7 linked regions of the Canis lupus familiaris genome follow. The protein of the gene in region 3 interacts with the protein of the main gene of each other region in a pairwise test. Links are inferred from orthologs where the notes say so. Each region holds a gene or a part of one and is shown on either strand. Other genes may lie near its edges.

Evidence for each region.
Region 1: the proteins of SETDB1 (region 3) and MRPL44 interact in a two-hybrid assay, tested with the Homo sapiens proteins (2 studies listed by BioGRID and IntAct). The link is inferred for Canis lupus familiaris from reciprocal best matches to the Homo sapiens genes SETDB1 and MRPL44.
Region 2: the proteins of SETDB1 (region 3) and CDK4 interact in a two-hybrid assay, tested with the Homo sapiens proteins (2 studies listed by BioGRID and IntAct). The link is inferred for Canis lupus familiaris from reciprocal best matches to the Homo sapiens genes SETDB1 and CDK4.
Region 4: the proteins of SETDB1 (region 3) and TSC22D1 interact in a two-hybrid assay, tested with the Homo sapiens proteins (2 studies listed by BioGRID and IntAct). The link is inferred for Canis lupus familiaris from reciprocal best matches to the Homo sapiens genes SETDB1 and TSC22D1.
Region 5: the proteins of SETDB1 (region 3) and TK1 interact in a two-hybrid assay, tested with the Homo sapiens proteins (2 studies listed by BioGRID and IntAct). The link is inferred for Canis lupus familiaris from reciprocal best matches to the Homo sapiens genes SETDB1 and TK1.
Region 6: the proteins of SETDB1 (region 3) and UBE2I interact in a two-hybrid assay, tested with the Homo sapiens proteins (2 studies listed by BioGRID and IntAct). The link is inferred for Canis lupus familiaris from reciprocal best matches to the Homo sapiens genes SETDB1 and UBE2I.
Region 7: the proteins of SETDB1 (region 3) and MBD1 interact in binary tests that used the Homo sapiens proteins (3 or more experiments, as listed by UniProt). The link is inferred for Canis lupus familiaris from reciprocal best matches to the Homo sapiens genes SETDB1 and MBD1.

The regions. Positions count from the first base shown.
Region 1 is NC_049258.1:29,561,591-29,565,805, forward strand, and holds the start of MRPL44 (39S ribosomal protein L44, mitochondrial), read left to right. Parts: upstream 1-1,415; 5' UTR 1,416-1,519; coding exon 1,520-1,698; intron 1,699-3,933; coding exon 3,934-4,215. UniProt on the Homo sapiens protein: Component of the 39S subunit of mitochondrial ribosome. May have a function in the assembly/stability of nascent mitochondrial polypeptides exiting the ribosome.
Region 2 is NC_049231.1:2,166,960-2,171,046, forward strand, and holds the start of CDK4 (cyclin-dependent kinase 4), read right to left. Parts: upstream 2,801-4,087; 5' UTR 2,600-2,800; intron 2,128-2,599; 5' UTR 2,109-2,127; coding exon 1,891-2,108; intron 1,758-1,890; coding exon 1,622-1,757; intron 1,506-1,621; coding exon 1,338-1,505; intron 1,204-1,337; coding exon 1,094-1,203; intron 834-1,093; coding exon 783-833; intron 638-782; coding exon 502-637; intron 260-501; coding exon 167-259; 3' UTR 1-166.
Region 3 is NC_049238.1:60,715,112-60,718,611, reverse strand, and holds part of SETDB1 (histone-lysine N-methyltransferase SETDB1), read right to left. Parts: coding exon 2,959-3,500; intron 2,522-2,958; coding exon 2,405-2,521; intron 1-2,404. UniProt on the Homo sapiens protein: Histone methyltransferase that specifically trimethylates 'Lys-9' of histone H3. H3 'Lys-9' trimethylation represents a specific tag for epigenetic transcriptional repression by recruiting HP1 (CBX1, CBX3 and/or CBX5) proteins to methylated histones.
Region 4 is NC_049243.1:6,343,633-6,347,929, forward strand, and holds the start of TSC22D1 (TSC22 domain family protein 1), read left to right. Parts: upstream 1-1,497; 5' UTR 1,498-1,797; coding exon 1,798-4,297. UniProt on the Homo sapiens protein: Transcriptional repressor. Acts on the C-type natriuretic peptide (CNP) promoter. Acts to promote CASP3-mediated apoptosis.
Region 5 is NC_049230.1:3,864,674-3,868,809, reverse strand, and holds the start of TK1 (thymidine kinase, cytosolic), read right to left. Parts: upstream 2,801-4,136; 5' UTR 2,731-2,800; coding exon 2,665-2,730; intron 2,517-2,664; coding exon 2,485-2,516; intron 1,508-2,484; coding exon 1,397-1,507; intron 1-1,396. UniProt on the Homo sapiens protein: Cell-cycle-regulated enzyme of importance in nucleotide metabolism. Catalyzes the first enzymatic step in the salvage pathway converting thymidine into thymidine monophosphate.
Region 6 is NC_049227.1:39,915,905-39,919,404, forward strand, and holds part of UBE2I (SUMO-conjugating enzyme UBC9), read right to left. Parts: intron 707-3,500; coding exon 597-706; intron 481-596; coding exon 401-480; intron 1-400. UniProt on the Homo sapiens protein: Accepts the ubiquitin-like proteins SUMO1, SUMO2, SUMO3, SUMO4 and SUMO1P1/SUMO5 from the UBLE1A-UBLE1B E1 complex and catalyzes their covalent attachment to other proteins with the help of an E3 ligase such as RANBP2, CBX4 and ZNF451.
Region 7 is NC_049228.1:78,689,940-78,694,073, reverse strand, and holds the start of MBD1 (methyl-CpG-binding domain protein 1), read right to left. Parts: upstream 2,801-4,134; 5' UTR 2,626-2,800; intron 1,261-2,625; 5' UTR 1,245-1,260; coding exon 1,126-1,244; intron 1-1,125. UniProt on the Homo sapiens protein: Transcriptional repressor that binds CpG islands in promoters where the DNA is methylated at position 5 of cytosine within CpG dinucleotides. Binding is abolished by the presence of 7-mG that is produced by DNA damage by methylmethanesulfonate (MMS).

The sequences.
Region 1 (4,215 bases), on a different chromosome or scaffold from region 3:
GTGTCTGCCTTGGGCTCAGGTCATGATCCCAGGGTCAGGGGATGGAGTCTTGCTTCAGGCTCCCTGCTCAGTGGAGAGTAGGGAGTCTACTTCTCCCTCTGCAGCACCCCCTATGCCCCCCCCCATCCTGCCATGCTGCTCTCTCTTTCAAAAATAGATACACAAAATCTTTTAAAAATAAAAAAAATATATTTTATTCAGGAACTATTGCAATAAGGGGAAAGAGACCTCTGTATACAACTGAGCTCAATTACAAATACAGCATGGACCAGGGGAAATTTATAGCCATGGGGGCTGGGAGTTGTCAATGAACCTTGAACTAAGTGGAAACATCAAAGGTAAGGTGGGGGGGTGGGGGTCAGGATTCCAGCTAAACCAACTTGACAGGATTTTTCAGAAGGCAAGCCAGAATGATCACCTAATACCTGGGGATGGTGGTTGGTGATGAATTTGATTGGATATTAAGGGTAATCAGATACTGAGGGTAGGGGAATCCTTTCTGGACTGAATTGGGAGCCTGACTCAAGTTTGATCAAGGGGAGAATCTTTGCTAGAGCCTCACATTAGCGATTTTTTTTTTCTTTTCTCTTTTAAGATTTTATTTATTTGACAGAGAGAGCAAGAGAGTACAAGCAGGGGCAGCAGCAGGAGAAGGAGACTTCCTGCTGAGCAAGGAGCCAGATACTGGGCTCCATCCTAGGACCCTGGGATCATGCCCTGAGCCACCCAAGTGGCCCTAACATTAGAGATTCTAGCCAGGAGCCCAACCTGGGTGAGTGGGGGCAGCGATGCCTCCAAGCACAGGGGCCGCAGCCAAGTGCCGCCTGGAGCCCAGGTGGTCCTGTGGTCGTGCAGCTCTGGGCTGGCCTTCCTTTGTGAGTATCAGATGGAAACATTCACATTAGCAGTTTGGTAAGAAAGTCTCCATCAAGAGTGCAAGACAAAGGGGGGAAAAAAGGCTTATTCCACTGTTCTCATTTTGGTGTATTTTTTTCCCAGTCCTTTCTTTTTGCGTGCTTTAAAAAGTTTGTGCTGTCAGGAGTTTGCACCTTGGTTAACTCAGCACCCTTCGGTCTGTGGCTCCTGGAGACCCGCTGGGTACCTGCTCCTGCAGCGTCTGCGGCACTTGAAACTATATGTTGACAAACAGTGTTTTCTTTCTTTTTTATTTTATTTTATTTTGAGACTTTGTTTTCCTTAAATCGAGAGTGAAACGGGTTTCTGTGCTAACGAGGAAGGAAAGGTGCACGCAACACCCCCGCACTGCGCGCCCAGCGACCCCGCAGGGCTCACCCCGGGGCGGAGCCTCGGTGGGCGGGGCCAGAGCTCGCACCTGCGCAGTCAGGCCCAACGGCCGCCCCGCCCCTTCGCGCTGGCCCCGCCCCGCCCTTCGCGCTGGCCCCGCCCAGTTCCGGGGGGGAGGGGGACGTGTGTTCCCGCGACACCGCTCCGGCTGCTTCCCTTCCGCCCTCCATTGCCCTTTTTAAAAACTTCCTTTTATTTTTAACGGAGCGCCGCGATGGCCTCCGGCCTGGGGAGGCTGCTGGTACGGGGGCCTCGCTGCCTCCTGGCCCCGGCCGCCCGCACGCTCGTCCCGCCGGTCCGGGGCGTGAAGAAGGGCTTCCGCGCCGCCTTCCGCTTCCAGAAGGAGTTAGAGCGGTGGCGCCTGCTCCGGAGCCCGCCGCCGCCCGCGCGCCGGTAGGAGCCGCCGGGGAGGGGGGCGGGGCGGGGGCGGGGGGAAGGGGCGTAATTAAGCGTGTTTCGTCTTAATCCTGTTCCAGGACTCCGGCAGAGAAAGAAAAACATCCTTTTTTATTTTTATTTTTATTTTTTTTTTAAAGAGTCTATTTCTGTCCTCGTGAGAGGGAGCAGCAGGCTCCCCGCTCCCGGGACCGGGTCGCGCCCCGGGCCGCGGGGCGGGCGCTTACCCAGGAGCCCCCGGGCGCCGAGAGGAAGGCCCCTGCCGGCGACCTCCGACCTCCGACCTCCGACCTCGGGGTCCTGCCCCTCTGCCTCGGATGCCGCGCTCGCTGCGGGTGTGGGCCCCGCACCCCTGCCCCTGCTGTTGCGGCCGGTGAACAGTGGCCGGCGCCGAAGTCAGCGCCCCCTGGGGAATCCAGGCTGAAATTTTGATCTACTTTGGTATTCGCCTCCCCCCCACCCCCCGCCGCAAAAGTTGACCCAAAGTGTGCATTTATCAGTAAGGAATATATATGCCTGTCCGTGTTCCTGTGCTCTTTCAAAGCAACGTGAGGTCATTTTTTCCCAATAGGCACCAAACAGTATGTCTCTATTCACATTTCTTGGATTATCGTGGGGTGAGTCGTTTTAAGGCCTTTATCGTTGCAAAAAAACTGAGGGTTTATACAGGCCACGTGCCTTTTATGGCTCACAACCAAGATCTTCGTATTTAACTATCCATTTTTACCTAAACGTTTTATTTGGATTTTATTGTTTCTTTAAGAAAAAAAAAAAAAAAAACCTTTTAGGCATTATTGGGGAATGATTATGAACTTTTAACGTACTTGCAATGCTTCTAGATTATTTAGACATTTATTTATTTATTTATTTATTTATTTATTATTTTTTTTTAGATTTTTATTTATTTATGATAGTCACAGAGAGAGAGAGAGAGAGACAGAGAGGCAGAGACACAGGCAGAGGGAGAAGCAGGCTCCATGCACCGGGAGCCCGACGTGGGATTCGATCCCGGGTCTCCAGGATCGCGCCCTGGGCCAAAGGCAGGCGCCAAACCGCTGCGCCACCCAGGGATCCCAGTTTCATTATTATTAACTAAACTCCATACTTTATTCAGATTTATTTAGTTTTCACCCATTGTCCTTTTCCTATTTTGGGATCTTATCCAGGATATCACATTATATTTAGTTTTCATGTCTCCTTAGGCTACTCTTAGTTGTGACAGTTTCTTAGACTTTCTTTGTTTTTTGTTATTTATTTTTTTAAGATTTTATTTATTCATTCATAGAGACAGAGAGAGAGAGAGGCAGAGACGCAGGCAGAGGGAGAAGCAGGCTCCATGCAGGGAGCCCAACGTGGGACTCAATCCTGGGACGCCAGGGTCATGCCCAGGTTGCAGGCGGCACTAAACCGCTGTGCCACCGGGGCTGCCCTAGACACTCATTTTTTTTTTTTTTAATTTCTTTTTTTAAATTTATTTGTGATAGTCACAGAGAGAGAAAGAGAGAGGCAGAGACACAGGCAGAGAGAGTAGCAGGCTCCATGCACCAGGAGCCCAACATGGGATTCGATCCCGGGTCTCCAGGATCGCGCCCTGGGCCAAAGGCAGGCGCTAAACCGCTGCGCCACCCAGGGATCCCTAGACACTGATTTAAATGAGTGTTTTTAGGGGCACCTGGGTGGCTAAGCATCTGCTTTCAGCTCAGGTCATGATCCTGGGGTCCTGGGATTGAGTCCTGCCTGGGGCTCTGCAGGGAGCCTGCTTCTTGTCTGCCTGTGTCTCTGCCCCTCTCTCTGGGTCTCTTGTGAATAAGTAAAATCTTTTAAATATTTTTTAATACTTAAGAGATAAGTATAGAATACTTTGGTTAATAGTGTGAACCTGTGAAATTATAACTCCTATTTCATACCTAGGTATAAAGCGTAATTCCATGGTAATAGCAGAAATAAAGAATCTGAAAGGTAGGGTAACTAACGGCTTAGTTTCTGATGTTGAAGAACTTCTTTAATGTGGCAGTTGGCCCAAGGGGAAAATGAATCCATGTAATATAGCAAAGAACCACAAGGAATCATCTGACTTGAATTCTAACTTTCAGAAAATCAAAGCATGGTGTTAAAATGAAACTCAGTCGTTTTAATTTCCCTAATCAATAAAATTGCAACACAAAGGTTTTGCGTCATTGTAACATCTTGTTTTCTTTACCATCTCTTACTGTCTTCTGTTTTACTTTTCAGTTCAGAGAAGCCCAACTGGGATTACCATGCTGAAATACAAGCATTTGGACATCGGTTACAGGAAACCTTTTCCTTAGATCTTCTCAAAACTGCATTTGTTAATAGCTGCTATATTAAAAGCGAGGAGGCCAAGCGCCAAAACCTTGGGATAGAAAAAGAAGCTGTCCTTCTGAATCTTAAAGATAATCAAGAACTCTCTGAACAAGGGACATCTTTTTCGAAAACTTGCCTCACACAGTTTCTTGAGGATGCGTACCCAGACTTACCCACTGAAGGCGTTAA
Region 2 (4,087 bases), on a different chromosome or scaffold from region 3:
ATTAAGGCAGCAAAATATTCTCTGTAAAAAGTGGGAGTTGTTTCCACAGCCTCAGAGATGAAGGTCAAGACTGCCTTCTTAGTTTGGGGAGCTCTCCACTCAAGTGTTCAAAGGAAGAGAAAAGACAGCTTCTCTCCTCTTGCTACCGTTGCAGCCATTCCACTGCTCACTCTGGGTTACCTTCTGCCTTTTGTAGATAAGAGTGCTGCAGGGCTCGGAAGGCAGAGATTCGCTTGTGTGGGTTAAAAGTCAGCATCTCCTGAGAAGGGGAGGCAAAGATCAAAAGGTCATGAAGACAAAACAAAAAAAAAAAGAAAAAGACTTCCGCTCACCCCCAACAATACCTAGGATGGGCTATTTTCTACATCCCTCTTTATGGATGGCCTATTCACTGGCGCCAGTAAAAACTAGCCCATCCACCAACCAAGTCTTAGTAACCGCAATGCTAGTGCTCGGTCTTCCACCCCATCCTCAGCCTGTGCCCGTGCCCACGCCCAGTACCAGCAGCAGCTGTGCTCCAGACTCCTCCATCTCAGGTACCACTGTCTGTACTGGACGGGGCCCTCTAGGGGAAAAGGCTCCTCGGGGCAGAGACACATCTCGGGGCCAGTCATCCTCTGGGGGCAGCCCGATCAGACTATGGGGAACAGGAGAGCTCTGGTCAAGAGGGTCTTTCTCTAGCCCACATCTCCAGGGGCAGAGCCAACTGCCATGTGGGGCTCAGCAGAAAAAAGATTTGGAATGGAAAGTTTTTTTTTTCTCCCCTCATGCTGGTCACTTACTCAAAGATTTTGCCTAACTGGTCAGCTTCAGAGTTTCCACAGAAGAGAGGCCTAAGGTGGAAAAAACACAGAAGTCATGTCCAAAGATACAGTAGTGGAATAATTACTGGTAGGTAATGGCTCAAAACAGAGAGTGTGGGGGAATACAGGGATGTGAAGTTCCTAACTTTGGGACATTTCAGAGTTTCTGGTTAGGGACAGAACAGTCAACAATACTTAAGTGAAAGATTGGGCAGGAAATGGATGTGATCTATGACTAAGAGATTTGGTTTGGGAAACTCAAAATAGTTCAGGATGCTTGGGTCCCATACTTGCGACGAAACATCTCTGCGAAGATACAGCCGACACTCCACATGTCCACGGGTGTTGCATACGTAGACTGCAGAAGAACTTCTGGAGCACGATACCAGAGTGTAACAACCTAATAGGAACAAGAAAAGTGGATGAAGACCCCATGGGTTACCATGAACCATAACTGGTTGACTAAAGTCACAAAGTGCCCGACTTCTCAACTGCTACGGTCAACCCCTCTCCTACTCCCCTCTTGCTACTGACCACAGGCGTAAGTGCCATCTGGTAGCTGTAGATTCTGGCCAGGCCAAAGTCAGCCAGCTTGACTGTCCCACCACTGGTCACCAGAATGTTCTCGGGCTTCAGGTCTCGGTGAACGATGCAGTTGGCATGAAGGAAATCTAGGCCTCTTAGAAACTGGCGCATCAGATCCTGGTTTAGAAGGGGGAAGAACAGAGGACCTGGAACTAGGCACCATACCTGAAATCACAGCAGGTTCTGCCACAAAGGTCTCAATCTACTCCTCAGTGTCCACCCACCCTACTCACCTTGATGGTCTCCACTGGCAAGCCCGGTGGGGGTGCCTTGTCCAGGTACGTTCTCAGGTCTTGGTCCACGTGCTCAAACACCAGGGTCACTTTGGTCTCCCGGTCGGTTCGGGCAGTGGCGCAGACGTCCATTAGCCTGGCCAGAACAAGTGGTCACTCACTGATCAATCCCTCTGGACCCGATGCGGCCTTCCCCATTTCCCCAGAATCCCCACCTACAAGTTGTCTTTTCCCCTTTACTACCCACTCCCCACCCCCCACCTTCTCACCGGACAACGTTGGGATGCTCAAAAGCCTCCAGCCGCCTCAGCAATGCCACTTCACGAACTGTGCTGATGGGAAGGCCCCCTCCGGCACCTCCTCCATTAGGGACTCTAACGCTCTTGAGGGCCACGAAGTGGCCGCTGTGCGGATCACGGGCCTTGTACACCGTTCCATAGGCACCAACCCCAATCTCAGCCACTGGCTCGTACCGAGGAGTAGCCATTCTCGGATCAGAGAAGACCCTACAATCACAAAAGCCTCCTGCCACCGAAAATCCCTCAAGAGTTCAGGTGGTATGAGCCTGCCGCAACGAGGTGACTCCCCCACAAGGCATCACAAAGACCCCCCCTCCACCACCCCGTCCCTCTCCCCAGTTCCGTGAGGCTGGCTCCTCAGCTGACACAATGGCTCTAACCCCAACCCCGCCAGGGGGGGTTATTTAACCCACGCCTTAAATATAAACGTGAATCCCTCAAAGAAAGAATTCCTCTTCCTCGGGGACGGGCCGTCGCGCCCCGCACGGGGCAGACCGCACACGACACACCCCCTGCATCGAAGACTCGACATCCGTCCCTACCATTACATCCCAGCTGACCACAAAGGAACTTTGCGCGGGCCGCACTTCCCGCCCTCGAGCGACCCTCCCGTAACCTGCCCGCGTAGGCAGACGCGAGGGCGACAGCGGTCCCGTCCCCGGGAAGGCGCCACGCTCACCTCACTCGGCGCCGGGTGCTGCGGGGGCGGCCCGTTATCGGGGCCCCGGAGCCAGAGCCTGCGGCGCCATACACAGGAGCTCTGTCCGGGGCAGCTGGACGCTCCGGGCCCGACCATAGACAGGCCGCAAGCTAGAGCGGCCCCCGCACCCCCACCCTCACCATGTGACCAGCTGCCAAAGAGGCGCGCGGAAACTGGCGGGGCGGGGCGAAAGCCGGACGTTCGGGCCACGTGACGAGCCGCGCGTGCGCAGAGGGGCGGCCAGAGCGGCCTCGGCCGGGAAGCGGGCGGGGAGGGGAGAGGGCAGGCGGGGCGACGGCGGCCACGTGATCTGTTGCTATCACACGTGACCGCCCGACTCCGCTCGGAGGAGCAGAGGTGTGGCTACGCGGCGGGGCACGTGACCGACTGCCAGACCCGGCGGGGGTGCGGGGAGACGGGGGAGGGTGGAGTCCAGGGCGGTGCCATGGCAACCCGGGCCACCCGGCTCCAGGGCCGAGCTGCAGGCCGCGCCTGAGCGCTTCTGGCGCTCGCTCCTCGCTCCGCGCCTCCCTCTGTGCGCGGCGGTCAGGGAGCTGGAGACGAGGCGGGGGCGGGACGGGCGCTGGAGCCTTTCGGCCTCACTGCCGCGGGGAGACCTGGTCTCGTTTGTGTCTTTGTTTCATTCATTGGCTCATTCAACAAATTTTTACCGAGTGCTCGCTTCCTGTGTGCATGCGGGTTTTTTTTTTCCGGTGTCTCAGTCGCTGGCCCTTTAAAGGAGTGATGGGGCTGTCTGGAAAGACGTAGCCCCCGGTGGGGACAATACCCATCTCAGGGCACAGCCAGCACTAACGGACTGACGGAAGGCACACTAATGCAGTGACCCAACCGGAGGAGTGTCAAGGTGATGCCCTCCCATCTTTCCAACTTCCACCTCTTCCAGGGAGCGTTAAAATAAGACGGTGCTTTCTGGCGGAGAAATTACCAATGAGCAAGAGACAGAAACACTTAACCTGCAAGGTTCTTTGCAACAGGGAGAGGCAATGATATGCGCGTTTGTGTATGTGTGGGTATTTTACACATTGTGTACAGATGGACAGATACAGGAGTGAGCGTGTGCAGGGAGGTTACCTCCACCACCACCTTGGACCTCAGCACTGCGTGAGAATGATTTGTGCTCTTCCACAAACCCTGTGACTCCTTGTTTGGGGTCGTTCTGCTTCCCTCTTTCCCCCGGTGCGAGCTTTCTTAGTCCTTGCTCCCGCCCAGAACTTGGACTTTCCCAAATTGCTTCTGCTCACAGACACTTAGGTCGACAATAGACAGGTTCCTCTGACTTTCCTTATTTCCTAGCCCTTTAGGGGAATGAGAGTAAGGAGGGAAGAGATCAGTATCTCGTTCGGGACAACCTGTCTAAAATCATTTCATGACTCTATTTGCCACTCCTTCCACCTTAACTTCTATTCTCCTTAACCATCTAGTGGAGGATGTAAGAGCTCAGGCTCG
Region 3 (3,500 bases):
ACAATTTTGAGGTATTTCATGTCTAAAAAATGTCTTTAGTTTATTTTAACACTTAAAATTCATAGTCTGGGGTTTAGAATGCCAAGTTAGAAATAATTTCCCTTAGAATTCTGAACTGAGTCTTTAATTTCCATCTAGCTTCCAAAGTCATTTTGCAAAGGCAGAAGGTATCTGAGTATTTTTGTGGTCTATTTCTCTTCTTTAGAAGCTTTTAGGGTTTTTAATTTTGTGTCTTCAGTGTTCTGTGGACATGATTACATTTTATTTTTTAATATTTTAGTGGGGATAATATATTTTCACCCATTATGCAGGACATGACTATCATTTTCTATTTGAAAACAGACTCTTCAGGCACGCCTCGGTGGCTCAGCAGTTGGGCGTTTGCCTTTGGTCTAGGTCATGATCCTGGAGACCCAGGATCAAATCCCACATGGGGCTCCCTGCATGGAGCCTGCTTCTCCCTCTGCCTGTGTCTCTGCCTCTCTCTCTCTCTCTCTCTCTCTCTCTCTGTGTTTCTCAGGAGTAAATAAATAAAATCTCTAAAAAAAGAAAAAAAGGCAAACAGACTCTTCGATTATGGGAAAATTTCTGAAGTATTCATTCATGTTTTTCTCCTCTCTTCTAATTATGTATCTTGAGCACCAGGTTTGTTAGTTACTATGTTCATATATAACCATTTTACCAAGTTTTATATCCAACTCTTGCATTGTCTTCCTCTTTTCCTGACCTGCCTTTCTCAAATTTATATGCTGGCTTCACCTCCTCTGTTCAGTCTCTAGTTGGAGAGCCCAGTACTTACTCCTGTGCCCCCTTAATTTTTTCTATTATCAATATTCTCTCTAGGTGAACTCATCCAGGCTTTAAATACCACTTCTGTGTTCAGAATTCCTAATTTCTTATGTCCAGCTCTTATACTTCTCTCCAGAAATCTCATTGCCTTCTTGACATTTCTCCTTGGAGTGCCTAGGAGGCACCTCAAACGTAAGTAACATGGCCCGAACAGAAGCTGAATTCCACCCAGACATGCTTCTTCTCTAGTCTTCCATCTCAGTAAAATGTACCAATGCCCACTTTGTTGCTGAAGTATAAAGTTTAGAGAACTTGAACTTGATTCCGCTGCTTCTCTCCCATGCCAGTCCATCTATCAAGTTCTGTAGCTCTACCGCCAAACAAATCCCAACTCTACCCTCTTTCAGCTCCACTCTCCGTGAGCATTCTAGTATAAGCCCCAGCAAGCACAACCTCTCGCCTATATTCCCATAATTATTCTAAGTGGACTTCTCAGTTTTACCTTTGCTGCTCTAAGACCCAGTCTCCACCAAGAAGCCATGGTAACCTTCAAAAGGCAGCTGGCATAATTTGCCTGCTTAAAATTCTCTAACAGCTTTCTATCATACCACAATTTGGTTCTAATTTTTATTATCATTTACAAAGTCCTATATAACCAGGTCCCTGCATACTTTTCTATGAACACGTCTCCCTTGCCAGCATAACCACAGTCTGTTAGAATATACATATAACTATGACACAATTGCAATTGCTAGGTCCTATTCAATCATTAGAAGTCTTCATTTAAAGGAAAGCCCAAGGAAGAAACATGTACTAGAAATTCAGTATGTCGGGATCCCTGGGTGGCGCCTCGGTTTGGCGCCTGCCTTTGGCCCAGGGCGCGATCCTGGAGACCCGGGATCAAATCCCACGTCGGGCTCCTGGTGCATGGAGCCTGCTTCTCCCTCTGCCTGTGTCTCTGCCTCTCTGCCTCTCTCTCTCTATCATAAATAAAAATAAAAAAAAAAAAAAAAAAAAAGAAATTCAGTATGTCTCTCTGCCTGTGTCTCTGCCTCTATCATGAATAAATAAATATTAAAAAAAAAGGGGGGGGGGTGATCCCTGGGTGGCTCAGCGGTTTAGCGCCTGCCTTTGGCCCAGGGCGCAATCCTGGAGCCCTGGGATCGAGTCCCACGTCGGGCTCCCAGCATGGAACCTGCTGCCTCTGCCTGTGTCTCTGCCTCTCTCTCTCTCTCTCATGAATAAATGAATATTAAAAAAAAAGAAATTCAGTGTGTAAGATTTAATTGATAAAATACCTGGTTTACCTGGTTTCAGTTACTCTATTTTTGGTTCCAATTTTTATTTATTTATTTTTTTTATTTTTTTTTTTAAATTTTTTTTTAATTTTTATTTATTTATGATAGTCACACAGAGAGAAAGAGAGAGAGGCAGAGACACAGGCAGAGGGAGAAGCAGGCTCCATGCACCGGGAGCCCGATGTGGGATTCGATCCCGAGTCTCCAGGATCACGCCCTGGGCCAAAGGCAGGCGCCAAACCGCTGCGCCACCCAGGGATCCCTGGTTCCAATTTTTAGAACTCCATCTCTGAGGTGCTTTGCCTTCCCCTACTTACCCTGTGGGTAGACACTCTTCTAGTCTCTTGTACTGGTATCCAGAGTTAGGGTTGATCTGGCCACCTGGGGTGCAGGCTGTGGCCTGGATAGTTAGCTGATGACAGGCACATTTGGACCTGAATAAAAAAAAAAAGGATATGATGGCTAGAGCTGTGAGACATTTAGAGGCAAGAAGTACTACAGAAGGATAAGGGAGAAGACAGTGAAATTTCTCTTCTGTCATACATGTAAACGAGAAAGGAAAAGACGGTAAGAACGTGACAGAGTGACAGAATGAAATGAAGTGGCAACTATAAGCATGATGGAGGGACACAAAGGAAAAGGAGAATCCGAGAAACAAACACAGGGCACAAGTCCCCAGAGTCATGCAGTGGGGGCCACATCAGACCCAAGCCTCGCTCATAGCTTTCATGGAGGTCTTCTGGCAGGAGCTCCAGCTGAGGAATGATGTAAATAGGAAATTAATGGAGATCTAAGGCAAAAGAAGTGGTAGAAAGTAAAGGCAAGGATAACAAAGTTGGAGGCAGGGCCAGCAACTACCCTACCAACTCACTTGTCTCGGCACCCATCCTTGCAGTCACAACCAACCAGAAATTCTGGGCCTGTGTTAATGAAAACACCCTTGCCAGGGATTCGTTCCTTACTGTAGGCCACCTGGGGTGGGGGGGTTGTGTCAATTTCATTAACACAGGATAGGGGAACATCTTCCTTCCCATAGGTGATGTCCAAAATATAGTAAAATGGTTTATAGGGTTGAAACTTTCGGTCCACAAGAACATATGGATCCAAACAGAACATCTCCAGGAAGAGGAAGTCACAGCCAGTCTCAAAAAGATAGCGTTCGATCTCCTGCATTGTCCGAAGGCAGAGGCCACAGGGTGTCTTATAGATAACATGAAAGCCCATCTTGCGGTTAACTCGGCGGCGGGCCGTCATTCGCCGGAAGTCATAGAGTAGTGGGACCAACAGGGGATTCTTGCCCCGGTACTGTGCACTTCTCATAGGCCTGACTCGAGACAGACATGTGTAGCTGCACACATGAGGTAAGTAGAAGAGCTTCTCCATGGGGGCACGGTAGGAGGGCTCTGCTGGGGC
Region 4 (4,297 bases), on a different chromosome or scaffold from region 3:
GCGGGCAAGGGCGGGGGGGGGGGCGGACACCCACCCCCTCCCCGGGGCGCGCACTCCCGGGCCCCGCCCCGCCCCCTCCCCCTCCCCTGCCGCGCGCCCGCCCGCGCCCGCTCCCGCGCCCGCGCACGCGCACCGGCCGCGAGCGAGAACAGAGCGGACACACCTAACCTGCGCGCGCGCGCCCCGCGCCCCGCCCCCACTCGGGCCGAGCCGCGCAGCCCGACCCGGATCCGCTCCCCCGCCCGAAGCGCCCCTCCCCTCCCTTCCCCTCCCCTCCCCTCTCTCCGCGGCCTCGGCGCCTCCGCCAGCCTTCGGCAATTTCCGGCGCTCGGCGAGGCCCGAGGCCCCGCCGCCGCCTCCTCCGCCGGACCCGGCTTTCTGTCTGCGGCGCCGGGGCGCATGCGCAGACGCCATCTTCCTCCGTCTCCTTCGCCTGCCCCCTCCCCCTCCCCCCTGCCGCCGCCGCCGCCTCCTCCTCCTCTCGCCGGCGGTCGCCCCTCCTCCTCCTCGTCCTCCTCCTCCTCCTGCGCTCGGGCGCTGGTCCCTCCTCTCCCGCTGCCGCGAGAGACTGGGGGACGCGGCGGAGCCGGAGGAGAGCACTAGTAACAACCACCACGGCCCCCTCCCCGCCCGCCCGCCCTCCGCACCCACCCACTCGCCGACACCGGCCAACCCCACCTCCCGTTCCTTTGAACGGCGTCGGCTGCAGTCGCTTGCACCAGCCCGTCTGGCCCCCAGCGCCGCCGAGGAAGGAGCCGCCCGCGAGGACGAGGACGAGGACGGGGACGAGGACGAGGAGCCGAGCGGCTCGCAGCCCGCCGCCGCCCCCCGGGGAGGCCCGGGCGCCGGCCCCTTCCTCCCCGAGGACGCGTGCCGAGCCGAGGCGCCTGCCCCGAGGGAGGAAAATGCTCGGGCTCCATGGCTGCCAGTGATGGAGCGGTCCCTGCGCTCCCGCCGCCGCCGCCGCCGCGCCCCGGCCGTGCTCCGCGAGGACCCGGCGTCCCTGCGCGCCCGCCCGCGCCCCGTTGCTGGGCTCACCGTACCGGGCGCCCCGCCGCCCCGCTCCGAGCCTCGCCGCCCCGGCCCCGGCCGCGGCCAGCGTCTGCTCACGGAACAGCCGCCGCGAGCCCAGGGGGTTTGAAAGGGTCCGCGGGGCGCGGGCGGGGAGGGCCGAGCGGGGCCGGCGGGGCCGGGAGGGGACAGGCTTGAGCGACCCTGAGCTCGGGGCTCGGGGCTCGGGGGCGGCGAGGGGACGGCGGCCCCCGCTCCGCGCCGCCTCGGCCGGTGCACGGCGCCCGGGAGGCTCTTGCAGCGGCCGCCGCCGCAGGGGCTGCGGTGCCCCCGAGTCGGCCGGAGAAGGTGGGCATTTCTCGGCTTCCCCACCTCCTCCTCCCCCTCGTCTCCCCCCCACCCCACCCCACCCCACCCCACCCCCACCCTCCCCTGCCCCCTCCCTCCTGCCCCGCACCCCACGTGAAGGCGGACTAGAGAGGGGGGTGTGAGACTAGAGGGGAAAGTGAATGGCGGAGGACTGAAGGGGTCCCCCCCGCTCCCCCACCTCTCGGGCCGCCCCGTTCACCCTCGTTCATCCTCCCTTCCCGAAGCTCGCCCTCGAAGGCAGGAGCGGCCGGCGCCTTCTGCTGAGGAGGAGGAGGAGGAGGAGGAGGAGGAGGACCCGGACCCGCGCCGGGCGGAGCGTCAGGTCCCGTTTTCTTCCCCGGCGTCTCGAATACAAAGATTACGGTGCAGAAGAAGGAAATTGCACTCGCCTCCTCCGCCCCCCCGGCCCCCGACACAATGCACCAGCCGCCCGAGTCCACCGCCGCGGCGGCCGCGGCCGCTGCAGACATTAGCGCTAGGAAGATGGCGCACCCGGCGATGTTCCCTCGAAGGGGCAGCGGCGGCGGCGGCGGCGGCGGCGGCGGCGGCGCCTCTGCGCTCAGCGCGGCAGGTACCGGCGTCGGTAGTAGTGTCACATCTTCCGAGGATTTTCCGCCTCCGTCGCTGCTCCAGCCGCCTCCCCCCGCCGCATCCTCCACGTCGGGGCCGCAGCCTCCGCCTCCACAAAGCCTGAACCTCCTCTCGCAGGCTCAGCTGCAGGCACAGCCCCTCGCGCCGGGCGGGACTCAGATGAAAAAGAAAAGTGGCTTCCAGATAACCAGCGTCACCCCGGCTCAGATCTCCGCCAGCATCAGCTCCAACAACAGCATCGCCGAGGACACGGAGAGCTACGACGACCTGGACGAGTCCCACACGGAGGATCTGTCTTCCTCCGAGATCCTCGATGTGTCACTTTCCAGGGCGACCGACTTGGGGGAGCCTGAGCGCAGCTCCTCAGAAGAGACTCTGAATAACTTCCAGGAAGCCGAGACACCTGGGGCAGTGTCTCCCAACCAGCCCCACCTCCCGCAGCCTCATCTGCCCCACCTTCCCCCCCAGAACGTTGTGATCAATGGGAACGCTCATCCTCACCACCTCCATCACCACCATCACATTCATCACGGGCACCACCTCCACCACGGGCACCACCATCCATCCCATGCCGGCGTGGCCAGTCCACCCATTCCCGGAGGGCCACCCTCCAGCCCGGGATCCAGAAAACTCTCTGCCCCTGGAAGCGCCGACAGCGTTGCACCAGCTGCACCGACTTCTGCTGTATCATCGGGAGGCTCACCTGCATCCGTAATGACTAATATCCGAGCTCCAAGTACTACCGGCAGTATAGGTATAAGTTCTGTTACTGGCGCTACTACGGTGAATAATGTTAACATCACTGCTGTGGGTACTTTTAATCCTAGCGTGACAAGCAGCATGCTTAGTAATGCCAGTATAAATGCGAGCAATATCCCTAGTGCTGCTAGTGCGAGTGTCGGGCCTGGAGTTAGCAGCGGTGTGAATGTGAATATCTTGAGTGGCATGGGCAATGGTTCTATTTCTTCCTCCGCTGTTGTTAACAGCGCCCCTAATGCAGCTGCAGGGATGACTGTGGGATCAGTTTCCAGTCAGCAGCAGCCACCGACAGTTAACACGTCGAGGTTCAGAGTTGTGAAGTTAGATTCTAGTTCTGAACCTTTTAAGAAAGGTAGATGGACTTGCACCGAGTTCTATGAGAAAGAAAACGCCGCACCTGCTGCAGAAGGTGTGGCGATGAATAAAGTGGTGGAAACTGTAAAACAAAACCCAGAAGTGACTTCTGAGAGGGAGAGCACTAGTGGGAGTTCAGTGAGCAGTAGTGTCAGCACACTGAGTCACTACACAGAGAGTGTGGGAAGTGGAGAGATGGGAGCCCCTACTGTGGTGGTGCAGCAGCAGCAGCAGCAGCAGCCAACTCTTCAAGGTATGGCTCTTCAACAGATGGATTTCAGTAGCTCTGGTCCTCAGAGTATTTCAGCAGTCAGTATACCACAGAGTATTTCTCAGTCACAGATCACACAAGTACAGTTGCAGTCGCAAGAACTGAGCTATCAAAAGCCAGGTCTTCAGCCTGTCCCTCTGCAAGCCACTCTCAGTACCGCGACGGGTATCCAGCCATCACCTGTGAATGTGGTTGGTGTAACTTCAGCTTTAGGTCAGCAGCCTTCCATTTCCAGTTTGGCTCAACCCCAACTGCCATATTCTCAGCCGGCTCCTCCAGTGCAAGCTCCCCTTCCAGGGGCACCACCCCAACAGTTACAGTATGGACAACAGCAACCGACTGTATCTGCACAGATGGTCCCAGGCCATGGTAAACCGGTGACTCAGAATCCTACTTCAGAGTATGTGCAGCAGCAGCCGCCGCCGCCGATGCTCCAAACAGCGGTGTCCTCGGGACAGCCCAGTGCTGCGAGCGTGGGAGCAGGATCGACCGTGATTCCTACGGCCCAGCCACAGAGCATCCAGCTGCCAGTGCAGCCCACCGCAATCCAAGCACAACCTGCAGGGGCCTCTGGCCAGCCTGTTGGCCAGGCTCAGACGGCAGGATCTGTGGTACCTACTGGCGGTCAAATCGCAAATATTGGTCAACAGGCAAACATAGCTACTGCGGTGCAGCAGCCCTCTACCCAAGTCACACCTTCAGTTATTCAGCAAGGTGCTCCTCCGTCTTCACAGATAGTTTCACCTGCTCAAACCGCGATTATTCATCAGGGAGTTCAAACTAGTGCTTCGAGCCTTCCTCAACAATTGGTCCTTGCACCCCAAAGTACCTTGTTAACTGTGCCTCCCCAGCCGCAAGGAGTAGAATCAGTAGCTCAAGTTTCGCAGCAGTTGCCTGCAGTTAGTCCTTTGCCCTCTGCTAGTAGTATTTCTGTTACAAATC
Region 5 (4,136 bases), on a different chromosome or scaffold from region 3:
GATGCCAAGACCCTGGGATCACGATCTGAGCCAAAAGCAGACGTTTAACCAACTGAGCCATCCAGGTACCCCTGGGGGCTGGTACTTTCCAAAGGCTCAGCAGCCTGTAGCTGTATTTAGAAAAAATAAAATACAACCACTGCTCAGTTATTATCTTGCTATAAGTCTACTCCAAGATCTGGCAAGAGCAGGAGATGGTATTTCCTGCATTTTAAATTCCCCTTTCCCACCCCAAGCCAGAGAAAACCAGAGGGTGGGCAAGGGCAGCATCTCTGGAGCCCTGTCACTCCCGCCAAGGGCTGAGTCACAGCCATGGCCCGTCTCAGCTTCTGTGGCCCAAGTGAGAGGGCATGTGTGCGGCTCCGGCCAAGTTCAGACATGCCCCTGATCTGACTTATCACTGCGTAATGCGGCCTCCTCTGCTCGCACTGCCCTCCCTGGATGTGCCCCTGGCCAGTGCAGCAGAAGCAGACACATGTTTTAGGGAAGAAGTAACTGCAAGACCTAAATGACCTGCATAGGGCAGCACGGCAGAAAGCACCAGTCACTCACATCCTGATGCTTTAACTCCAATTCCTAGACACTATCCACCCACCACCCGCCCGGCTTCAGAAACCCCACATTCCCACCCCAAAGCCACACACGGGGCAGTCCTGAGGCTGCAAGCCCTCCCTGTGGCACAGCGTGGCTCTGCCGCTGGCGGCTCGGGCGGACAAGTCCAAAAGAGGTAACATCTCAGGCTCAGAAATCTGCAGCCAAGGAACAGGCAAGAGTAAAACTAAACTCAACCTCTCATTCCCGACCTCAGGTTGCAGACTGAAACGTGTGCAGGGCACAGGCAGATAAACACAAAACTGGGAAGCATGAAGGCCACAAGACAACAGAGTCAACCAAGATAAAACAACTGAAAAGCTAAATGAAAAGCAACATGCACGCTAAACAAAACCAGTTTGCAACAGCACAGATGTAAGCTCGGCACTATTGACCATCGGGGCAGGGTCAGTATTTGTTGTGGGGGCCGTCCTGTGCACTGGGAATTCAGGAGCATCCCTGGCCTCTCCCCACTGGATGCCCATAGCATGCCCTCCCCTACTCCAGCTGTGAAGACTACAGATGTCTCCAGACATTGCCAAATGGACTCTGAGGGAGCGAGAGGGGGAACAAAATCTCCCTTTGTGAAGAACACCGGGCCAGAACTCTGTGAGAGGCCAAGTCCTAAGATCCCTTGCCAAGCGACCTTGAGAGTTTGCTGAGTTGCACGTTTCCATGCCGCCCACCGGCATGGCTAACCAGTCCTGCTGAAGAGCGCTCTGACAGTATGGCCTATGCCCTTGCGCATTTTCACCAGGTTTCCGGAAGAAGTGCTGGGACAGGACAGGAGAGAACAGGGACTGACCGGTCATGCGTGGAGAAGCTGTTGCTGTACCGCGTGTCTTTGGCATACTTGATCACCAAGCACTTGTACTGGGCAATCTGGAAGCGACGGACCCTTCTCATCAGCTCGGTACTGCAAGAGCAGAGCACTAGGTGAGACCCAGGATGTTAAGGAAGTCCCCATTAGCACAAGTGGGGCTCCCCCCCCACCCCTGCTGGGGGTCTACAGCCTGAGACCCACCAATGGACAGAAAAACCAGAGAGGACAGAGGGTGGTGATGGCAAGGAACAGAGGTCAGGTGGTCTGGGGAGGGGGTGGGAGAATAAATGTCTCAGGGATCTGATGGGGTGAGTAGAGTCAAAGGCCTCCGACAGAGAAGAGGGGTCTGGATTGCATCCCCAAAGAGTCCCATCCCAGAGGTCTTCACATGGTCTGCATTGACTTCGCAGTCTTTTGTTGTTGTTGTTCAAGAAAAAAAAGCAGTTACCTCTGGGTCCCAGAGCCCACCCTGGCCTGACTGTGGTGGGCACCAGGTTTGCCCTGCAGTGACCCCCCCCAGGGCAGAGGGCGTCACTCAGGGGGCCGACTAGCCCTGCCTGGGTCAGGCCACCGTCCTGTCACATCAGGGGAGCAAAGGCATCCTGGCCTGACTCCTTAGTGTGTAAACTACTTAAGGAAACAAACACTAGGAAGGGAAGGAGGAGTGTGGATGCTGCAGGGTGCACAGGACCCAGCTCACCGAGGACACCATTTTAGAAGAATTAAAATTTTAAATTGAAAAAAAAAAAACCAAAACGAAACGAAAAGACTTGGCTGCTCCTTTCCAAGAGAGATTTAGTGGGAGGGTGGGGGGAGGGAGGACTACACCCTCAGCAGCCATAACCTGCTGCAGGGGGGCGACGTGGTGCCATGACCCCATGGAAGGGTCTGAACCCCGCGGGCAGGGAAGAGGCGCCCTCCTGCAGGACCGCATGGGGCGGGAACGCGTGCTCGGTCCGGGGGAGGGGTCGTCCTGCAGGGGGGCACTGAGAGGGGCAGCAGGGGAGGAGGACGGGCCCCCGGAAGGGAGGGGGGAGAAGGCCGTCCCCGCGAGGACATTACTTATTTACCTTTTTCCTGAGAACATGGGTCCTAGAATCACCTAGGAGAGAAGGAGAGGTCACTTCGGGGCCCGCTGCGCACGGACTGCAGGCCAGGGCCACAACCCCAACCCCAACCCCAACCCGCACCCGGGTCGCGACCCCGGCCCGCCACCCGCGCCCGCCGGGGTGCCACCCCCGCGCCGGCACCTGGATCTGCCCCCGGGTCTTGCTGGGGGAGCCGGGCAGCACGGTGGGCAGGTTGATGCAGCTCATGGCGCCTGCACGAAGCCCGCCGCTCGGGAGCCCTCGGGTGCCACCGCCCAGCAGCCTGACCCGGGTGCCCCCGCCGCCGGCCTTTATCCCGGGCGCGCTGGCCAATCGGGAGCCGGCGCGGGCGCCCCGCAGCCAATCAGCGCGCGGCCGCGGACTGGCGGGAGATTCGAGCGCGGCCCGCCCCTCGTGGGCGGCCCCGGGGACCCGGCGGGCTCGCGTCACCTGGACGGTCGGCCCCGCCCCGGCCGCCGCCTCTAAAGGGCCTCTAAAGGGCCGGGGCGCGCCCTCTGGCCGGCCGCGGCGGGATGGAGGGCCCGGCGCCCTGGAAGCGGCTGTCCAAGGAGGTAGGCGGGTTGCGCCGAGCGGGGCGCGCGGGGCCTAGAGGCCGTTCCCCTCGGGGAGGCGAGCTTAGAGACCCAGAGCCCAGCCCCCCAGGGCGCCGGCGGCCCCTGTGCGCCGCTCCCAAAGCCCTAGCGCCGGCATCTCCTTTGCTTCTGGCCACAGGCAGGCTTCGGGGCGCCTGGTCTTCAGGGTAGAGAAAACAGGCTGTGCTAATATCCATAAAGGAGGCACAGTCCCGACACTGAGGTCCCACAACGTGGATGGAGGATGTGCCGGGGTGAAGGATTCGGAAAGGCCGGCGTTCACCGCAGGACAGGCAAAGCACTTACTAGGGTTATCACTCAACTATGATTTCCTAACTAGTTTCCCTGCATTTCAGGCTGTATTTTGGGTTGGTTTGGGTTGGTTTATTTGTTTTCCGGTCACGGATACATGTGAGAATCTGATAAGTTATGCATTCTGCCCCCGCCCCCCCCCAAGAAAACCCCGTTCTCTCTGTGTCAGAAACCCATTGCATTATTGTTATTGTACATAACGACAGGGAAGATGACGGTAGCAGTGACAGCGTGTGCCGCTATGTGCCGCAGGCACAGATTGTACAGGATCTAAAGAACGCTGGTCAGGCACCTCGTTCAACGGGAGGGGGCCATAACCCACATTTGAATGGTTAGTTTTACTTCATTTACATGCTTTATGTCCTTCAACCTTGTGATGCTACTATTATGCCCATTATGTAGATGGGGCTGAGGCCCAGAGAGCATAAGTAAGCTGCCCAGGGTAAAACAGCCTGTAAGGGATAGAACATGGATGGCATTCAACCCATCTGACACCAGAGCCCAGGACCCTTCCATGAAGCCACCCCGTCTTAAAATTTCCCATTTTAGGCTTCACTCTTTCTCCTTGCCTTTGAGCTCTTTCTCCCAAACCTGGTTCCTTGCTACTCTCTGCATTAATTCTGTGTCTTAGCCTGACATCTGAGATCCTCTCCCCGTAGTCCCTCCTTCCACCTCACCTCTGTGTCTCGGTGGTCTGACTCACCAGCATTTCCAAACTGACCTTTGATT
Region 6 (3,500 bases), on a different chromosome or scaffold from region 3:
CCCTGGCCATAGCTCATCAGGGACAAAGTGGCCAACAGGAGCCCACATCACCTGACTGCCACCTCCTGAGCACCCCCTACCCAACAGCACTGTGGCCATACCAGCCCTGGTCACCCGTTCCTGCCCACCACAGGCCCTTTGCACATGCAGCTCCTGCTGCCTCCCCAGGGCCTGCTTGTTTGCGTCCTGCCCTCAGATGCTTCCTTGACCACCTCACTCAGTGTCCCGGTCACAGCCCGTGTCTCAGAGCCACCCTCGCAGGCTGCCAGGGGCGACAGGGACTGCTGCCCAACTCACAGCCTGCCTGCCGCTATCCTTCTCATGGGCAACCCAGACGGGACTCCCAGGAAGTGTGTGCAAACCAGAGCGGCCACAGCGAGGGGGCCAGACCACTACTAACCAGTAAATCGTGTAGGCCTCTGCTTGAGCTGGGTCCTGGATATTTGGTTCATTTAGAAGTTCCTGTATTCCTAACAAGATCTGTGTGAGACAAAACATGGAGCTCAGGGGTTTGAAAGGCAAACTGTCCCAGGACGTCGGCCTCGGCTTTGCAGCGAGACCACAGTCGTCTGGCCCCGCGCACCCTGGCGCCCTACCTGCTTAATCGTGATGGCTGGCCTCCAGTCCTTGTCCTCCTCGAGGATGGACAGGCACACTGTGCCCGAAGGGTACACGTTCGGGTGAAACAGCGGTGGCTCAAATTTACCTGGACCACAGGGAGGAAGCAAATGCGTTTCTGGTGGCAGCTGCTGTCCGGCAGGATGATGGCCGCTCCCCTGCCCCGGAGGGCCCCACCCCTGGCCGCCCCCACTGCTCCACACCCCTCCCCAAGCCAGGACAGATACAGGAGGTGGAGAGGGGCCGCGGCTGGTGAGGACAGTCCTGGGGTACAACTGAGGGCAGGAACCCTGAGGCCCCCAAACAAGTGGCCATTTTCAGAGCAGATCATTCTGCTTCAGAGAGGCCTGTAGGACCCCAAGCACCCCACTCCACATTTTTTCTTTTAAAGCATGAAAGTAAAAAAATAAAAAATAAAAAAAGAACACATGTAAGAAATTATGAAACATAAAAGAGCAAGAAAATTGCCTCGAGCCCCCCTGGGACTGTTACCTGCAGCTGACGTTTCAGGGCACCCCCCCTTTACTGTAAATGCCAATTACCCCCAGAAAGGTCCAACGGCTCAAGAGAAGCCTGACGAATCCCCAGTGACAGACACATCTGTTAACACCCCCCCAGTACGCGCTGCACCCATCGAGGGCTCTGGTCGTGTGGGCAGAGCTAGCTCTCACGGTCACGCGTGCTGCGGCAGGTGGCGGCCACCCACCCCCAGCTCGCCGGGGCCCCCCAGCCCACCGACCGCCACGCCGGAGGGACACGAGTGACCACAGACAGCACCGTGACAGGTCCCTGAGAGTTGCTGGTGTGCGCACGTCAGACCCGAGGAGGAGCTGCCCGGTGCCGGCGGTCCCGGAGCAGAGCCACCCGGCGACTCCAGGGGAAGCATCCCTGTTCACTGCGACGCACGGTCTACTCGAAATTCCTGTGCGAGTCTCTCGTCCGTCTTTGTCCCAGGCCGTCTCTGGGCTCACAGGAGCACCACGCACGTTCTGGACACAGGCCGTCAGCTGCACGTCTCGAAGGGACCTTCTCCCACTCTGTGCACCCTTTCCGTGTCTCTAATCGCACTTCTGGGTGAGGACAAGTCCTTCATTAAATGAGTGGTCGGCCTTCCTTCTCATCTAGGAAGGCGCAGCGGCCTCCCCCAAAGCCTTGATCCCGACTTCGGGTCCTGCTGGCTTGCTCTGCTCGGAGTCCCTTCCTGTCACAGGGGCCGCTGCCGACTTCCACAAGGAACCCGGCCCTGACCGCTCTATCTGGGAGACTGGCCATGTTGCGCATGTCAGCCCTCTGGCTGCTGGGACCGTCTCCCATGGTCCAGCCCCTGGCGTGTTCACGGGCGCTCGGCTGCCTCCAGCCCTGCTTGCTGCATACGGGGCCGCCCCAAGTTCAGCCTCTGTGGACACGGCAGGTGGCTTTCCAGAGGAAATATTCAAGAGGCACAGTGTCTAGAGGCCCCCCGGCTGGCTGTGGCTTGCAGCATGTGGGGAGCAAGGCGGGCAGCCTCTGCTCTGCGAGTGGGCCTGAGGGGTGGAGGGCCTCTTGGGCAGGGCCTGCTGATGCGATGGCCACTGCCTTTTCTGATTCGCAGATGCCCTTTGTGTGTTGAGGAAAGTGCCGATGAACCTACACACTTCTCCCCTCCTCACTCCCACTGGGGTCTTCTGGTGGAGGCAAGGCCCACTGACCGGCTTTCCACCTGCAGGGGCGCCCTTGTCTCCTTCACGGGTTGGGTCTACCCAAGCGATGGAGAGGCCGCCCGCCCGGGTCTTCCTCTAAGAACTGCACAGCTCTGCCTGTTGGGCATCAAGGTCCATCTGGAAGGCTGTCTGGGGAGGAAGGGGAATTCCCGTCTTCTGCTAGGATACCCCGTGGACCCAGGCCCCTCACTGGCCCACCCTCCCGCCTCTTGTTACTTTGGTCAAGAACTGAGCCCCTGTACACATGGCGTGTGTGGACTCTGCTCTGCAGGCCCATGTCTCAATCACCATGTCCCTGCGCCCAGGCTGCCCGGCTCCCATCCTGCCTGTCATGCTAATGGGGCTGGGTGCCCTCTACTAACGAGCCTCCGCCCTGGCCTCCCAAGCACCCTGGGCACCCCAAGGGCCTCTGGGCACTCTGCACTCCTACACGTTAGGGTGTGCAAGGCAAGTTCCACAGAAACGTGCCTGCATTCTCACTGGGTCCCCAGACGCTCCGTAGACTGGCTTGGAGAGGACGGACATCTTCACAGCCTCGGTTCCGGCCTGTCACGGGGGCCAGGTGGTGGGTCACTGGCGCCATCCTTGGCTCCTCTCAGTGGGGCTCTGGAGTTTGCAGTCTGGAGGCCCTGAGCCTCTGGTTGCATTTATTCCACAGTATTTAATGCTACTGTAAACAGTCTGGTTTCAACAGTTTCATTTGTTGCTACTTTATGAAAACAGGTTCTCACATGTTCATCCTTTGGCCCACAACCTTCACAGACGGGTGTCATAAAGCACGTCTGCACACTGTCCCTTTCCTGCTCTTCTGTGGGGATTTTCTTCTTCCTTATTGCATTTGCTTGGAATTCCAGCATCATGTGGCACAAAAGTGAGAAAAGCAACTCTAACTTGTCTCATTTCTTAATTAAAGCAATTATTTAAAGTAACACCTGCCAAGTGGCAAAAACTACTCAAACAGCAAAGAACCACCCGAAATGAAAGCGCCTATCACCGTGGTTACCCAGCTAATCATTAATTTTTAAAATTCTTCTGGTAAATACCCTTATAATGGAAAATGTACGCCTACCTTCTGAATTAGTAACCCCAGTGTAAACATTTACACATGGCCTTGTCCGGCCATGGACCATGCCGGACGCATCTACACACACACACACACACACACACACACACACACACACG
Region 7 (4,134 bases), on a different chromosome or scaffold from region 3:
TATAAATCTCTTATAAATACGTATGTTCACATATTTATAGCCGGTTCTCATTCATGAAATGTTTTATAAAGTCACGTTGCACACGTGAATTAGTGAATATAGAATCTTGGCTCCTAGTGAAACTACAGTTTAGATTCCTGAGAGCCTCAGGTGACATTTCTTTCAACTGATTTTCTGTCAACTGATTCTGTGTAACCTTGTCTTATGTATGGCCTTCGAATGATTTAAAGCCAGCTTTGGAGTACTGTTATATAGGTACTTTTACCAAGGTACTTGTAAAATAAGGTACAGTCTCATCAGTTATTGAAAACCTATTCTTCTATGTGACACTTTTCCCATATAACACTTATTATTTTTAAAATTCGTCTGCAAATTCTCAATCTCCAGAACCTACCTTGTAAGCCAATTTAAAGTTTTTTCACAATCTCACCTGTTGAAATGTGTGAGCCAGTCAGCACTAGCTGAGATAAATTTAACATTTTCCTAACCAGGGGTAACACAATCGTCAACGTCATTGGCCTTAAGCCTCTCACACTGTCCACTACACTGTTACTGGTCATTGCCTTATGGATCTTCAAGTTTAGCCCACCTTTTCCTTAGCTCCATTATGTATTATACAAGTTACTTTAGCACTTTCCAGAAACTGGAAATCGGACAAATTAGAAAATTTCCCTTTCTTTTTCTAGATGTACCACATCTTTGATTCATTAACATTGTAGTCACACCTAATAGTACTACAATTCATGCCTGAAATTTATTTAATGTGTACTTTCTCCTCGTAGCACATCACATTTTTCTCCTTAAAGTCCATCACAGACTTCTTGCACTAAGAACACTAGACAGCACTGCAGCACCTCAGCTGCGAATGCGTGTTTTAGGCTACTTAGATTTTTTGCTGTTCTGTGCAGGTCTGTGAAAGACTGTGAAGTACAGGAAATATGGGCTTTAAGGGCACAAATTTTAGTGAGTAGGCAAATTTGCAAACATGGAATCTACAAATAAGAATTGACTATACATGTGTAATTTTAACCCACCCACAAAATTAACCACACCTAATTTCACCCTATTTCACCCTGCCTAAGCGGGTTCAGCCCTACCTATGACCGTCCACAACCCACCCAGTACCTCTGGTAATAGGTGTCTGAGCGTCCACAGGTGGCACCTGATTTTCGAAAGACCTCACGGCGCTTCCAGCCAGGGCCCAAGGCTGGGCAATCCAGCCAGTCCTCAGCCATGGGGGCCATGGGAAGGAGCAGCGGCCTGCAACAGGGAGGGCACGGTGGAGAAAACTGAGGCTCTAGGAGAGAACATGCTGTGCTCTAGCCACACCAACAGCTGCTATTTACTAATGCCCATCCCACGCCGGGTCCCTACCACAGGCAACCCGTCAATACAGTAGAGAAAATCCCCCGTCCCACCTCATTCTTCCGTGTGCTGGGCCCAGAGGCTAGTCGTTCCTCCCCTTCCGGACCTGGCAGCCCCACTTTTAACTTAACAGGCCGTATCCTCAACCCAAAGCTCCTCATTCCTTACTCCATGTCCTGATCCCCACCTCTTCCTCATCTTCAGCCTGAGACCCCATCCCTTCTCCCCTCTGCCAACCTAGGAACCTGTCATTCGTCTCAAGAGACATGGTCTTTGACCTACTGGTGTTGACACCTCCCCTGAGGGTTCACCCTGAACCATCCATACTCCCCATTATCAGTCCGAGAGGCCCCATCCCGCTCATCCTCAGCCAAGGTCCCAGGACTGTCCCTCGGTGCCCTAACCTCGCATTCACTCCCCTGGTTGGCCCAGGAGTGCCCAACTCCTCTCAGTCCTGTAGCTCTCCCATTCCTTCCCTCCTTCCCTTTCTGATGTCCTCTTGTCATGCCACTGCCTCAGGTTCCTGTGTCCTCTGCCCGAGAGCCCCAGCTTCTCCCCTCTTTATCCTCTCATTCCTTCTGTTCCTCAGCCTGAACGCTGCCTCCTCCTTTTGCCTGTAAGCGTCTTGAGCCACAAGTCTTCACCGACCTCCATCCCCAGACCTTATTCATCTCGTCTTCAGCAGTTTCTTCACTCCTCCCCGTCGGTGTCCCTTGCTCTCCCGTCCGCTGACACTCTCAGAGACCCTGATTCCCCCCCCCCAGCCCTCTGAAGCCACCCCCCAATCCTCCCTGTTCGTGTCCCAGGATCGTGCCATCCCCACCTCGGCCTTCAGAAGCCCTATTCCTTCTCCTCCTCCATCTGAGCCCCCGTCGCTCCTCTTCGGCATCCGAGTGCCCCTGTTTTTTCCCGTCACCAACCTGAGGGCCCCTCTGTCTCCCTCTCAGCGTTCTAAACCCCCACTTCTCACTCCTTAACCCCGAAGGCACCGAGATCGCCCCTCGGCGTTCGGATCCTTCTCCGCTCCTCTCCGTCCTCGTCCAGACTCCCGACACGTCCACCTACCGGCACACTGAGCCCCATTCCTCCTCGTCCTCAGCCAAAACCTCCCCGTTCCTCCCCGTCAGTATTCCCACGCCGCCATTCCTCCCACTCATCGGCCTGAGGGCCCTTCATTCCTCTCCGTCAGCGTTCGGAGCCTCAATGCTTCCCTCCCCGACGCCTGAGCGCTCTCCACTTCCACCCCCACAACTGTCTCACCAGCTTGGCACCGGGCCGGTAGCTTCCGCCGCTCTAGGTCCGTGGACCCATGCCGAGGGTCCCGCCTGTGACTCCCGCCTTGCCCTGCTCTTCTTCCTCCTCCGCAGACGCTTCCTCTGAAGCGGTAGCTGTCGCTGCCGCGGCCGTTCGTTGCTCCCGGAACCGGAAACCCGCTGCCCGCCTCTAGGGCCCCGCCCCCCAGACGACGCCTGCGCGCTAATGCCCCTCCCGCGCTTGCCCTTAGTGGGGAGGGCCCCACGCCTGCGCGCTTAGTCTCACGGCGGCGCGCGCCTCTGGCCCGGGCCCTACTGCGCCTGCGCCCTGACAGCCGGCCTCAGCTGCACCGCCCCCTCTTCTCCCCTCCCCACCCGGAGTCGTTCAGCCCCCGGCGCCTCGCTCCGCCAACCGGCACTTTCTCCCCACTCCGCCCACTTGGCTTGCGCCTGCGCTCTCCCAACCGAAGGGGGCGTGGAGGAGGAGGGGGCGCTACGCTCTTTGGCCGTCTCCACCCGGGGTAGTTGGAGGGGGGGCGCCGGAGGTCTCCTCTCATCTCTCGCCCCCATCTCGCTCCCATCTCGCTGTGCTGTGCGGGCCCCTGAAACATCTCCCCCAGAACTCGTGTGTCCCGTCCTCTCCGCCCCGCGAGCAGTTGCAGGAGCGCGCGGGGAGGAGCGCACCGCAAGCCGACCCCAGCTCCCTCCCTCCGCGAGAACGGGCGAAGGGGGCGGTGCCGCGCTGCAGGTAAACAGAAGGGCCGTGCCACCGAGAAGGGCGTGCGCGCCCTAGAGAGGCTGCGCTGTGGGCCCCGCTGGGCCCCGCGACCGGGCGGAGGGGGCTCTCGGACTTCTGTTACACACGTGCCCGGAAAGGGGTTTGTGGGGCAACGAGAGACCTTGTGGCCGTCAGCGAATACGTGTCTAATCTGGAGGATGTCGATGCTGACACGGGGGTGTCACGGGGGAAATCAGCCACATAATGAAATAGCGCCAACTGTATACCCGTTGTTTCAAGATGAAATGCTGAGGATGTACGTCATTGGGCTCTCCCTTAGTAAGTCATAGTCCGCTGCCCAAGGGAGCTCCTGCAGAGCAGAGGGTGGTTGCCAACTGCATACTCGAAGCTCTATACTGCAACTCCTCCTGAATACAGGTGTGCCTCAGCCCTTTCACCCAGGGGGTTTGGGAGTGCAGATGCAGCTGGATAAAGTGGAAACCAGTAGTAATCTCTGTTGGTTCTTCAAAATTTTATTAACAAAACCAGGGAGAGGTGAGGCAACAGTGAGCAAACTCCACAGTCCCACCCAGGCACAGAGAATGGAGAGACAGAGGGACAGACAAGGACAGAAGAAAATCCTGAGACCCTCTGATAACGGCATCTGGGTAGTCAAATGGTGGATGGGCACAGGGAGAAACTCAGGGACCATTGGAGAAACAGATGAATGGCAGAACAGACAAACGGGGAATTCGGGGCAGCTCCCGGGCCTGGAATGCAGGGCGTGAGGACTTCTGG